Linked DNA regions of Callithrix jacchus. The protein of the gene in region 3 interacts with the protein of the main gene of each other region in a pairwise test. Links are inferred from orthologs where the notes say so. Each region holds a gene or a part of one and is shown on either strand. Other genes may lie near its edges.

Evidence for each region.
Region 1: the proteins of TRIM23 (region 3) and KLHL42 interact in binary tests that used the Homo sapiens proteins (3 or more experiments, as listed by UniProt). The two-hybrid records come from large-scale screens. The link is inferred for Callithrix jacchus from reciprocal best matches to the Homo sapiens genes TRIM23 and KLHL42.
Region 2: the proteins of TRIM23 (region 3) and SNAI1 interact in binary tests that used the Homo sapiens proteins (3 or more experiments, as listed by UniProt). The two-hybrid records come from large-scale screens. The link is inferred for Callithrix jacchus from reciprocal best matches to the Homo sapiens genes TRIM23 and SNAI1.
Region 4: the proteins of TRIM23 (region 3) and FAM133A interact in binary tests that used the Homo sapiens proteins (3 or more experiments, as listed by UniProt). The two-hybrid records come from large-scale screens. The link is inferred for Callithrix jacchus from reciprocal best matches to the Homo sapiens genes TRIM23 and FAM133A.

Annotation. Positions count from the first base shown.
Region 1 is NC_133510.1:43,423,104-43,426,603, reverse strand, and holds part of KLHL42 (kelch-like protein 42), read left to right. Parts: intron 1-1,369; coding exon 1,370-1,821; 3' UTR 1,822-3,500. UniProt on the Homo sapiens protein: Substrate-specific adapter of a BCR (BTB-CUL3-RBX1) E3 ubiquitin-protein ligase complex required for mitotic progression and cytokinesis. The BCR(KLHL42) E3 ubiquitin ligase complex mediates the ubiquitination and subsequent degradation of KATNA1.
Region 2 is NC_133506.1:45,529,566-45,532,878, reverse strand, and holds the end of SNAI1 (zinc finger protein SNAI1), read right to left. Parts: intron 1,476-3,313; coding exon 1,291-1,475; 3' UTR 501-1,290; downstream 1-500. UniProt on the Homo sapiens protein: Involved in induction of the epithelial to mesenchymal transition (EMT), formation and maintenance of embryonic mesoderm, growth arrest, survival and cell migration.
Region 3 is NC_133503.1:143,899,839-143,903,338, reverse strand, and holds part of TRIM23 (E3 ubiquitin-protein ligase TRIM23), read right to left. Parts: intron 1,375-3,500; coding exon 1,245-1,374; intron 716-1,244; coding exon 605-715; intron 1-604.
Region 4 is NC_133524.1:90,195,753-90,199,252, reverse strand, and holds part of FAM133A (protein FAM133A), read right to left. Parts: intron 1,701-3,500; 5' UTR 1,602-1,700; coding exon 858-1,601; 3' UTR 1-857.

The DNA of each region.
Region 1 (3,500 bases), on a different chromosome or scaffold from region 3:
CCAGCATCTGCAGCCATCAAAATGTTGTAGGCTTTAGTTGTCTGCCAGTGCCCAAGCTGAGCTGTCTCCTTCATGGTTAGGATTTATTGTTTAGAAAAAACAGCAACATTCTGTTTATAACTCAGAGCATTTGTGTTTTCTGCTGAAGCTAAAATACTCATTTATTCTTTCCTAGAGGAGAAAAGAAAAAGAGAACAATTAAAAACAAGAAAAGCAAAATTAGATATTCTAAATTTCTTAAGCATTTTTCACAAAGAGACTAGGCAATTTTTTTCCTTAAAGAAAATCACCTTTTTTTTTTTTTTTTTTTTGAGACACCAGGATCCCTGTCACCCTGGCTGGAATGCAGTGATGTGATCACAGCTCACTGCAGCCTCACCCGCCCAGGCTAAATAAAGCCATCCTCCCACCTCAGCCTTCTAAGTAGCAGCTGGGAACATAGGTGCATACCACCATGCCTGGCTAGTTTTTTATTTTTTTTGTAGGCGGGGGGGGGGCGGTCTCACCATGTTGCTCAGGCTGGTCTTGAACTCTTGAACTCCTGGGCTCAAGCAGTCCTCTTGCTTCAGCCCCCTAAAATGGTGAAGTCCTGAGACACCATGCCTGGCCAAAAATCATTATTAATTAAAAATGCCAGAGAAGCCTTTTATCTAGACTTTGATGTTTTCTACACTGCAACTATCTCTTGGGAAATGGGAAAAGGGAGAGGGAGGACCTTTGTTATTGTCTCTCTGGTGATATAATTGGGAAACTAAGGCTGGGCATGGTAAAGACCCAGTCTTTACAAATAAAAACAAATTGGAAAACCGAATTGCCAAGTGATTCTGTGGCTTGGTAGAAGGCTGCAGGTGAGACTGCTGCGTTCCTCCTGACTTGTAACGTTGTGTCCTTTTCACTAGACAGCCTCTGGAGAGCCTATGTTGCTACTTGTCATGTTTCTTAGGATCAGCTGTCAAGGACAGATGTAGTTGCTGATCAGCCTGGCTTCTGTATTAAGTAGTCGGTAATTTTGTAGCTATTGATGAGAGTTCTGAGGCACTTAGTTTTTTTGCCCTGACCTGGTGGTTCAAAGGTGTGGGGGCGGGTACCAGGGAGGAGGGGCTGTGTGAAAGTCAGAGCTGCTCTTTTCCCTGGTTTTATCCAGTCTGAGTCTCCCAAGGAGATATTTGGGAGGAGGAGGCGAGTGTGGCTGGATCTAAATATATCTCTTCCCAGCCATTTTGAAAACTGTTTTACCAACTTGTGCTTTTTCCGAAACAGTTTTTTCTCTTTGTTACCAAATTATGCAGGTAGAGGTAGACATTTCTGGGCAGCCTCGCCTAATGGTGTTAGTGGGGGCGGTGTCATCACTTATCTTTCTTTCTTTCAGACCGGAACATGAACATTTTGCAGTACTGCCCCTCTTCTGACATCTGGACCCTCTTTGAAACTTGTGACGTCCACATTCGCAAGCAGCAGATGGTGTCTGTGGAGGAGACCATCTATATCGTGGGGGGGTGTCTCCACGAGCTGGGGCCCAACCGCAGGAGCAGCCAGAGTGAGGACATGCTCACCGTGCAGTCCTACAACACCGTCACCCGGCAGTGGCTCTACCTCAAGGAGAACACGTCCAAATCGGGTCTTAACTTGACTTGTGCACTCCATAACGATGGCATCTACATCATGAGCAGAGACGTCACCCTGTCGACCAGCTTGGAACACCGAGTGTTCCTCAAGTACAACATCTTTTCAGATAGTTGGGAAGCATTTCGGCGTTTTCCAGCTTTTGGACATAACTTGCTGGTGTCTTCTCTTTATCTGCCCAATAAAGCAGAAACATGACTGAATTGAATTCGTAGATGAAAGAAACTGGTTCAAGATTTTTTTTAAAAACGTAGTGTCCCATTGCAAGGGAGACTGATTCCTAAAGGGTAAAGAAGGGTTAAAATAGGTCACATATATACAGTAGCAGCTGTAAATAAGCTTACTTGAACTAATTACTTGAAAACTTGTGGAAAAAAGAGACCAACTTTGTTATTTTTAAAATTATTGATTTTTAAATTATGGGAGCAAATCTATCTCCAGACATGATACTCTTGGGCCAATGACGGATCATCAAAATATAGATTCATTGTGACTGCATGGTAAAGGGCCAAAGTCAATAATTGGAACAAATGGTAAAGATGATTTTTAAAATCTGTTGTATTTAGGTCCCTTTACATATCATTAGCACCTTATGTGAGAGATTTTCTTTTTCTTGCCAGTATACTTGACAAGCATTCGTATTAACATATTCATTCCCTCTTCTCCGTCAAGCATACCCACACATACATCTAGTATGTTTAAAATAGGGTTCTGTGTTCAGATATTTTGTTTGCACTCTACTTCTTAGGAAACTTACAATGATGGAGCCCTACAATGAATCCTTGCTAGTGTTCAGTCCTCCTCAAAACTTGCATAAAAACATTCTCAGCCATTTTTCCAGCCTTCTTTGCAGGTACAAATGCTGGATTAATAGATTGATACAACCTCTTATTTTATTTATGTGGCAGATTACATATTTATGTGGCCACATAGGTTGCATTGCTAGGTGTTCTGTATTTTAAAGAGGATATATTATTTAGAAAAATGAATATATGAATATTTTAAAAAATTGAGTCTTAAATTTAAATGGGAAGGGAAGAAAACACCAAATAAGACATAAATTTGCCTTTGAGAGTTACTTTTATTGAATGTATTTGACTTAGTTCTTATTTCAAGACTTAAAAAAAGTTTACCATATTTAAGTCAGGCAACTAATTTAATCTTAGCTTTGTAATTAATGTTTTGCTTTTGTGGACTAAGGTAAGGACAGCATTTAAACATAGGTGCTGGAGTAAGGAAGAAGCCCTTACAGAAGTGGAATGGCTTCTGGTAGTATTTTTGAAGTTAGGTAAAGTGCTTTACTTGCCTTGGTTGTGAATTGAAATAGAATGCAGCTCAAGCAGTTGTTTTCACTGAGGGAGTTAACAATAAAAGTTTCTGCCAATCAGATCAGCATTCTTCAAAAATATATATACTCATACTTACAGAACTTTTATTTTGAGTGAAAAACGCTCTAAAATTATCTGATATTTTGTAATCCAATCAGTTCAACTGTGAGCTGGATTCCATCATTCTGCAATAACAGCAGGCAGAACCATTTCAGTTAGTGTGTGCCTCACTTTAAGAAAATCCTGTTGGGGGAAAATCACTGTCAGCAAATTCATGCATTCCGCAAACACTTATTGAGTGCCTGCAATATGCCGTCCACTATGCAGATGTAGGACGGGGCTAATTACTTAGAGTTTTTCAGTTTATTCTAGGAGTCACTACAGGGTTTCTTTACAACCATGGCCTCTAGTATACTTAAAATAAGGGTCCACTTATAAAAAGCCTCTTTGCACAACTTTTTGGGAATACTTCTATTAAGTTAAATGAGGTAAGCCATTATTTTGGACATAGAAACAGATCTTTGTATCTTGTCACCAAATAATCTTATC
Region 2 (3,313 bases), on a different chromosome or scaffold from region 3:
GCAACAAGACAGAGGTGTGGGGCTGACACGGAGGCCCGAGGGGCCCGGAGCCCTTGGAAACAGGAAGGACATCCTCTGTTTCCTTGGTCAAATTCTACTCACATCTAGGGGAAACGGGCAATCCCACCCCAAAAGACCTGCAGTGCTGGGACAGAGCTTTGCAGCCTGCCTAGCTGGTAAGACCCAGGAAGCCAGCTTTGCACCCCGAGGGTCAGATCAGCTTCAAAATTCAAGAAAGGAAACAAGAGCCACAGTGTATAGTGAAGAGCTCATGTGGACGCTGGCGGCTCACCCACATGCCAGCAGGCAAGACACCCGGGCCAAGGGGAAAACCCATCTCATAAGGTCCCTGACAGTGTCACCCAGGACTCCAAAGCCCTGTGAGTTTCCCAAGGACAAGTTTTAAGGCTGTGTCAGAATATCTAAGCTTCAGGAATTCCTGTCCCCTTCTCCCTTACCAAAGACCTTTCAAAACACCCACCCCTCTATTACAAAGAAACTTTTTAATATATAAATTAACTGCTTTATTGAATATCAATAAACTGCATATATAACTATACAAAACGTTTCCTTGATACAAAATGCTTGAAATATAAATACCAGTGTACCTTTAAAAATGTAAACATCTTCCTCCCAGGCCCACCTGTCAGGCACCCAAAATAGTTCTGGGAGACACATGGGTCAGACCAGAGCACCCCACTCAGGCCCCCGACAAGTGACAGCCATTACTCACAGTCCCTTTTGAGACATTGTTAAATTGCCCGGGAACAGGTGCCACCCCGCCAAACAGGAGGTTGAAATAGCAGTCTGCCACCACCTCCGCAGGCCCCGGGGCTGCACCTGGGGGTGGATTATTGCATAGTCAGTCACACCTCATGGAGGGTGGTCTGAGGGTTCCTTGTGGGGTGGGGGTGAGGGGAGTAGGGTCCCCTGAGTGGGGTAGGAGTCCGCTTTCATCCCGTAGCTCAAAGCAGCTGTATCCAAACAGCTCTGGATACAAAAACCCACGCAGAAAGGCCAGCTCAGGACAGCCCCCGGCCTGGGGCTGCCAGCTGCCCTCCCTCCACAGAAGTTGCCACGGGCAGGCCTCTTCCAGAGCCCACTGAGGGACCCAGGCAGAGGAAACAGAACCAGAAAATGGCCTTCATCAAAGTCCTGTGGGGCTGAGGCAGCCAGAAGTGGGGTGCTCAGGAGGGAATTCAGTGAGAAGGACCTGGGCCCTTCCCGCTGGAACTGCGGGGAGGCTGTCAGGGAGGGGCTGGTAAGGAGAGGAAGAGGGAGCCTAGAGGGTCAGCGAGGGCATCCTGAGCAGCCGGACTCTTGGTGCTTGTGGAGCAGGGACATTCGGGAGAAGGTCCGAGCGCATGCCTGGCACTGGTACTTCTTGACGTCCGAGTGGGTCTGGAGGTGGGCCCGCAGGTTGGAGCGGTCGGCAAAGGCACGGCTGCAGTGGGGACAGGAGAAGGGCTTCTCGCCTGGGGAGAGAATGGCCAGAAAGGCTGAGTGAGCCGTGGGACAACAGCTGGCAGCGATGGGAATCCCTCCCCACGTGCCCCAAAACCTGAAAGAATCCCATGATCCCAGGAAAGCCAGGCCACAGTGAAACGAGCATCCAGGCTCCAAAGGCCAGGACCTGACAGAGCTCTGCTGCTTCCCACGGTACAACCCCAGGCAAGCTGTCTGGCTTCTCTGAGCCTGCATCTTCCACCTGTAAAATGGGGCTATTCGCTCCCCACTCATAGGGGTCGGTAAGTGGCAGGAGATGGGGTACAGCACTCATCATCCTGCAGGAACGTGGGAAGGGGTGCAATGATGACTGCACACTTTTACTGATTGGTCCTACTGTCACTCAATCCTACAGTGGTCCTCATTTCAGAGAGGGTGAAACCGAGGCCCAGAAGTAGCATGTTCAGGGTCCCCTGGCAGGACCCCAAAGCCTCTGATTTCACCCACTGTCCTTACTGCCTTCAGTCAACGGACGATGTGGCTGGTGTGCCTTGTGGTCCTGGAGTCACTCCTTGATTTATTTTGTTGGGGGCCAAAGCTAGAGTCAGCCTTACTAGGCCTCCCCACCCCCACTGCAAGGTGGTTAGGCCACCCCCGGGCCCGGCCAGCATCCTGCTTTGCTCACCACCCCACCTCCTGTGCCGAAATCCCAAATCTCCTTGTCTGTTCTCCAATGAGGCCGAATCCCATAAGGGCAGGGGCTTCCCTGAGTCCATTTAAGCCCAGCCCAGGGCCTGGGCCCCTTTCTACCACCCAAGAGGCTACAGAAACCAGTGCCCATGACACACCAACTGCCTGGCTAAGGCTGTGTTGGGAACTCAGTCCTCAATAAGCCCTTAGAGAAGAAATAAGTATTCTTAAAAATAAAAAGGCCTCAGAGGAGCCTGCCCCTTACTCGTGCCTCATCACAATCTCTGCTCCAACCAAAAGCCTACAGTTCCAAAAACACCAATCAGGTTGTTTTGTCTTTTTTTGGGGACACAGCATTTTCCAAACAAAAAGTAATAATAGTTACTCTTTAAACAGAAACCTATGGAGGCCAGGTGTGGTGGCTCATGCCTGTAATCCCATCACTCTGGGAGGCCGAGTGAGGCAGGAGAATTGATTGAAGCCAGGAGTTTGAGACCAGCCTGGGCAACAAAGAAAGACCCTGTCTATAAAATTTTTTTTAAATTATTGAGCTCCTACTATGTGCTACACACTATTCTATAATACTGAACAGTCTTTTTAAAAAATATGCAATTCTCCTATCCCTTCACACCCAGTCCGATATGCCCTAAGGCCAGGGCTGGCTGTTAAATCCCAGTGCTGGATGAAATTTAAGAGCTGGGAGTGAATTAATTCCATCAACTCCTGGGTACCTAGGGTGCTTCACTGAGCTAGCAGGGTAGGAGGGAGTCCAGAGGATGCTTCCAATGGGACCTATACATTCAACAGGGACCTACGGAGAGCCTGAGAGCTGGGCTCAGTCTCTGGAAATGTACCACTCCACAGGGTGGGGGACCTAGGGGATGGGGGAGGGGATGGCTGGGAGAGCATACTACTCCACTCTGCCATTACTCCGCACGTTGGGCCTGCAGGGTTTGTTGATTGCATTCTGAGTCTTCATGTGAAAGAGAAAGTTAAGTTCTCACTTGTGAACTAAGGGCTGACTCTGGAGATCTGGTAAAGGGGCTGGAGTCCATTCGTAAGACTGGGCGGGTTATGATGGTACCCCCTTCCCAGGGCTGTGGTGAGCCTGAGCACTGCCTCCTGCACAGTAAGTGCTTTAAGTGTGATGGCACACACACGAACAAAAGAGAAAGGA
Region 3 (3,500 bases):
GTACAAAGCAGGATAACATACAGAATAGGACGCATGAGTCTAAGCTTTAGGTTGGGGTCTCTGAGGCAAAAGTGTAGAATAGAACTCAAATGTGACTAAAACCTATGTAGAGTATATGATATAATACCATTTGGTCAAAAGCAAGCCACTGTAAGTTCTTTTGCAGGTAACAACTATTTATGAGAGAAATGTGGGAGTGGGGCTATTGTGAGATTATAATGGGATAAATGCTGAGTTTAACTGAATTGAACAGCAGAATCATACACCATAAACTCAACTCTATACCACTACATTGCCAGCAATCACACCCATATAATACTGATAATATACATTCTCTGTTAAGAGAAGCGAGAATACTCTTAACTGCCTATGTTTCTAAGCTACATCTGGTTTATTTCTGTAATAATGGTTTATCAGGAATAAACTAAAAGTACATATGCTAATTTTTCTACTTTTGTTTTTTACAAGATAAGGAACTAGCCACTAACACTTAAGTGTATAGTCAAGGATTTAATCATAAATATCAGCTTTGCTAGTCAAATCAGTACACTGAAAACTGTCATCCTAAAAATGTGAAAAATTAAATGTCATTTTAAACTCTCACCTTGAGTATTGAGGTAATAATGTTTCCACAATGGTCTTAATTTATGTTTTCCACCTACATCCCAAATAGTGAATTTTAGATTTTTATATTCTACAGTTTCCACATTAAAACCTGTTTTAAAAAAAAAGTTAACTTTTATACTATATTTACATTTACAATGAATGACACATCAAACACAGACAATCCCCCAGTGTATAATTGTGATTTATCAATTATCTATATGCAGCAATATCTACTGAAGCCTAATCAACCCCATTCCTACTTCTACATGGAGAGTGAATACCTGTAACAGCTGCTAGCCCTCTAAACCTCCACCAAGGTCCTTAGGACCTTGGGATCCATGTATCTTCCAGCTCTGTTGCACTACTGCCCCCATCCCCACACCCTCAGCCAGGATCACCAATCTTCTATTCCTTCAAACTGTCCCACCAATACTGTTTCTTCTTTTTATCCCCAACCACATTTCATTCCCATAGCCACACAATCTTGCATTTTTTCTCTCAGATGCTGATGTCTTAGAGCCAGAAAAGAGCCCAGCACCATGACAGATTAGTAACAAATAAGACCACAAGAACTCGGCTGTAAGCTAGGGTTTGTCTATTAAATGCCCTTTAAGGTAAAAACCAGTATTAATACTTACCAATTGTTGGAATGGGCTGCATGAATTCATCCTGTTTTAACTTAAACAAGATAGTAGTTTTTCCAGCACCATCCAATCCTAATGTAACCACCCGAATTTCCATTTTTGGTCCAATGTGAACTCGATTATCCTATAATTTAAATATTTTAAAATATTTTTAATTTGACATACAGTTATAAAGTAATAGCATTTAGCACCTTTATTATTTCTACATTTCCTGTTCATTCCTCAATCATTGCAATCTGAGTTGTATTCCTCAAAATCTTGAGTTTTATCTTAAGATGAATTCCTTCCCCATGGCTAAATCTTTCCTCAGTAAAACTGACCAGTTTGTCTTTGTATAACAGAATATACACAATTAATTTTCTCAGATTTTCTAACTCAAATGAAACCTCTTTAAATCTTATTTAAGCATGTTTTTATGCTATACTGAAACACCTTACAATAGGGCTAAATTAATTAAAATGAAAATTGCCGCTCAATTCCCAAAAATTTTCACTATGAATCTGATGTATATCCCTCCAGATACTTTCCCATGCACATACTGGCCAACATACAGAAACACAAGAAACTTTCTTTAAAAAGTATCAGCCACACTCTACAACTAATGTGTTTCACTCAACAGTATATTACATAATCCTTGCAATACATATGGACCAACCTTTTTCTTTTAATGGCTTCTTTACATTCCATAAACCACAATTTAATCAAACCCCCAACTGGTAGATTTTATGTAATTTCTGATTTTATGATATTACAAACAATACTATAATGAACATTTTTATTTATTACTAGCTGCATGATTTCTCTGCTTCCCTTCTTTCATAAAAGGAGGACTAAAATAATACAAAATTTACATAGGATTCTTGAAAGGATTAATTTTTAATGAAAAGTCCTTACAACAGTTGCCAACATATATGTGTTATTTCTGCTTATTCCTTTGAGCACTCTTTGCTTGGCTTTTATGATACAAAATTTCCCAGGTTTGGTTTTACCCCATTTTTGGATGCTCCTAATTTTTCCTTTATCTGCCTTTTAAATGTTGGTATTCTTGAGGGTCTGTATAAGGCCCCCTTCTCATTCTACATATTTTCATTCTCTTCACAAGCTTTAATTACCATCTACGCAACAGCTCCAAAGCTATACTTAAATCCAGTTATACACCTCAGAAACAATATATGGAAGAGAATTACTTCTATGAGAACTCTAGAGAACAGTTAAGAAGCTACAGCACCAGGCCATAAAACCAAAAAGGCATTCCAGTGAAAGGGGTAAGAAAATTCAGGGTATTCTGTGCACTCATCCCTGCCCTTCCCCATACCCCACATAGTTGAGGCTGAGGTGCAACCAGGAGGAAACTACAAAATACTAGCAAACTGAATTCAACAACACATTGAATTCAGTTTGCTAGTAAACTCAACCAAAAAACCATTTGGTACACCATGATCAAATGGGCTTTATACCTGGAAGGCAAGAATTATTCACCATCAATCAGTGTAATACATAGAATGAGATTAAAAAAACACATAATCATCTCAATAGTTGCAGAAAAAGCATTTGACAAAATTCAATACCCTTTCATAATAAAAACATTCAACAAACTAGGAATAGAAGGAAACTGCCTCAGTGTGACATACACAAGATATAAAATGCCCACAGCTAACATGTTACTCAAAAAACTGAAAGCTTTTTCTGTAAGATAAAGAACAAGAAGATGCCCACAGAGCGATTAGGCAAGAAAATAATAAAAGACATCTAAATTGTAAAGGAAAATGTAAAAGTATATCTCTTCACAGATGACATGATCTCGTATGTAGAAAATCCTGAAAAATCCACACAAAAACACCTATTAGAAAGAATACAGTCATGGAAATAAATATTTTGACACTTCAAACTATATTAATTTGATTGTAGTTTGCAGCGAGATAACTATTTCATTGAAGAAATCAGGAAGGATTAACATAATGTTCAGATTACCAATATTGAACATCAAAAGAATGTCAGCCAAACTGAGTAGCTGACTTCAAGTGACTTGAATTCAGGGAAACTGTGATCAGTTATGCTCTCGCTGTGGCAAATATAAATTTTTGTTGTTGTAGTGGTTGTGAAGGTGGCAGTTTCTGAAAGTGAAAAATAAAGGAAACTATCAAGAAAAAAAAAGAATACAGTCAACAAAATTTCAGGATATAAGATCAAAACAAAAATCAGTTGCATTTCTGTATACTTAAAAATCCAAAAAGGAAATTAAGAAAACAA
Region 4 (3,500 bases), on a different chromosome or scaffold from region 3:
CCAGATAACTAAAACTTAATAGTATAAAACATGCAAAAACAATTTCAGAATATTTCCTAATCAAAAACCATCAGGGTCTGTTTAAAATGATTCCCATACAAAATGGGTATAAAAGTTACTTCAAATCATGTAATATTGTAATACTAAATATTATTCAATACTGTATAGTGAACAGTGCTGAAGAAGAGGTAAATTTCATAGATATGGGGTCTTACTTATGCTGTAAACTTCGGTCCTTCTTGTTCACTTGAAGCAGCATACAACATCCCAGAATTTCATTAAGTAAGAAACAGATGGCTGCTGCTCTGGCAAAAATAGGATGTGTAAGAGTCAAAGGCACACTATTCAGCTAGCCACAGTGATTAGCAAACACTTGCCCTTCCCACCCCACATGCTCTTCCCCATGTAAACAAAGATACATTAAAGAGAAAAGTAAAATGAACTAAACTTATCTACAAAAGCAAGGAATTGAGACATCAATGTTAAGTCCTTGCATCAAAAACACCAGCTACCATTATCTGGAAATTTCTGATTATATTTCAAAGATGTATTCAAATAAGATACACTTAAACCTTAGATACACTTATTTCTTGTCAAAGTTATTCGTTATCTAACACGTTTTACTTTAATTTCAAACATTTTATTCACTGGTATGACAAGAAAATTTTAGCTCCCAGAGGAATTAACCACTGGAAGGAAGGACAAGCAAACAAACAAAAGCGTATATTTAAGTTGCGGGCAGCCATTATGCCCCTTTCTGGCACAGTGGGATTTGACTGACAGCTCAAAGTCCAGAAATAATTCTACTGACACAGGGAAACTCGGTAAACTCATTGTTGCTTTTTTTTTTTTTTATGTTATCTTGACTTGTGACTTGGACCAGACTTCTTTTTCTTCTTCTTACTATGTTTCTTGTGCTGTTTCTTCTTCTTCTTCTTGACCTTTTCCTTTGCTTGTTCTCGCTCTTCACACCTTCTCTTCTTTTTGGCTTGCACATCCTCTTCATAATCTGATTCAGATGAGGACTCAGATGAGAAATCATCATCAGGATAACTTTTCTTTCTTTTTTTGCTGAGGCTTCTCACATCCTTTTCTTTCGCTGTTTCATCCTTTGACTTCTTTTTCTTTTTTACAGACTCCTTGCTCTCTGATTCTGATTCATATGTAGAGCTTTGTGATGATTTGTATGAACGGTTCTTCTTTTTCTTTCTCTTTTTTCCTTGTTTCTTTTCCTCATCCTCAGAATCTGAAGAACTGCTTGAAGAATCAGAGCTTGATGAAGGAGATGAAGACCGACAAGATTTCTTCTTTCTCTTTCTCTTTCTTTCTTTTTTTTTAGAGGAGCTCTCATTTCCACTTAATAATTTCTGTCTGCTTTTTTCAAGTTCTTTCTTCCAATTTTCATTCATTTTTTCTTCAAATTCAGCTAATGCTTTTGAGCCTCTTTTTTTATTTTCTAATTGTTTCTTTACTTCTTCCCAGGTGGGCCTTGGTCGATTCAGATAATCTTGGATTGTTGGGCCCACAGATTGAGTTGGGCCTCTCCATCTGGCCATTGCTATAGGATTCATATAAGCTACCCGATTATCCCGCTTCCCCATGGTGCCTGATGTTTCCCAGGGCAGACTCTCAGTTGCCAAGGAGAACAAAGATACTCTCCTTAAATTCTTTATCTACTGAAATACCAAGCAAGGTCCATTCTGTAAGAGAAGCAGATGGAATGATTACAAATCACCGTTAATATAAAGACAAAATAAACATATAAGCTTAATTATTCACTGCCTATCACATAGTAGAGTAGAAATTTCCAAAATCTTATATCATGGGTACAAACAATATGCACATTTAAAAATTTTACATATTAAAGACACTGTGGTATAAACCTAATATAAACATTACTAAATCCTGATATTTAAACCTCCCCAATAGGAATCATATCCATTCATTTGTCTCCAAATAGACTGTCATCAATGTAGTTCAGGCCACTATCATCTCTTACTTGGATTATTAATCTCTACTCCCTATTAAGTGTTTATTCTCTGTCAAGGACTGCTTAGTGTTTGCAATGCATTATCTCATTCAATCTGAAGGCCAAACCAATGAAGCTGATCCTGTCATTATCCCTATTTCACAGATGGATAAACTGAGGCTTAGATAATTCGAGTAAAACTCAAAATTTGAACATGAAGTAAGAGGGCTAATAAATGGCATAACCAGGATTTAAACAAAGGGAGCCTGATTCCAAACTCTGAAAATATAAGGCAATACCAAATTGTCTCCTTACATCAACCTCTTAATAGGTAGCCTTTTCCCACCCTTATTCCCTTTTATTGTAGTCCTCACTGTAAACAGAGGGATCTTAATGAACTCCAGTGGCTTTAGGTTTTAATGAAAATCAAATCCAATCTCCTATAAGGTCCGATATGATCTGCACTACTTACTTCTCTCTCTTATTTTGTCTTGTTTCACTCACTCCTTTTCTCAAGTTTTTTCCATTTGGTTACTGGAACATGGTGAATTATAGGCTTAGCCAGTATGGCCAATTCCATCTCATCCTTCAGGTTTCAGTTTAAATGTCAATTCCTCAGAAAGTAAACTATTAGGTTAAACTATGTAAAACTATTTTGTGGGACACAAACAGTTTAAATATCAACAACTTTGTATGGTTCGAACTTATATTAAAGTAGTTTGCCTCTCTGTCTACCCTTCAACCTGATTTTTCTGTATGATAGTTCACTGTTTCTTTTATTCACAGAATTTATGAAATTGGTAATTATTTCATTTGTCAATATTTCATCATACATGTGTATCCACTGCTAAATGTAAGACCACGAAGAGTAAAGGTCATGTGTGGCCTATCTCATTCACCATGGTGTTCCCATTACATGATGCAGAATCTGACCCATATCAATCACTCAGTAAATATTTTCTCAATAATAAACAAACAAATAAATGCATGGATGGATAGACGGGTAACTCTGGGAGAGAAGGGGATTCAGAGGGAGCATCCTGGAGGTGGTGATGTCTATAGGATTTTAAGTAATGAACATGCATTTACCCAGAATATGAGGATATTAAGGACAATTTTGGTAGAGGAAACATGAGAAAAGAGCACCAGGTATTTATTGTTGATGAAACCTAAAGATCAGGAGGGCAGGGGGAAGGAGGTAAGCTTGCAGAGATAAAAAGAAGTCTAAATATGGAAACCCTCTTTGGTCATTTGAAAATCTTGGATTTTTGTCCTATAGTTGATAGGGAGTGAATAAAGACTTTTATATAGAAGAGAAAAACAATCAGACATATAGATTTTTCTGTCGTCTCCATCTTAACCCTGATCCTTTAAGTCAACCTGTCATACCTACCCATCATAAGCTCAATGCTATAGACATTTCAGTGACTCTTGGTAACAGTTTCCAACATCTTATTTCCTGTGTTCTCAATCTTACTCTCCTTCCTCTTTAGTTATGTGTAAATCCTTGGTGTTTCTGTAATTTTCATTC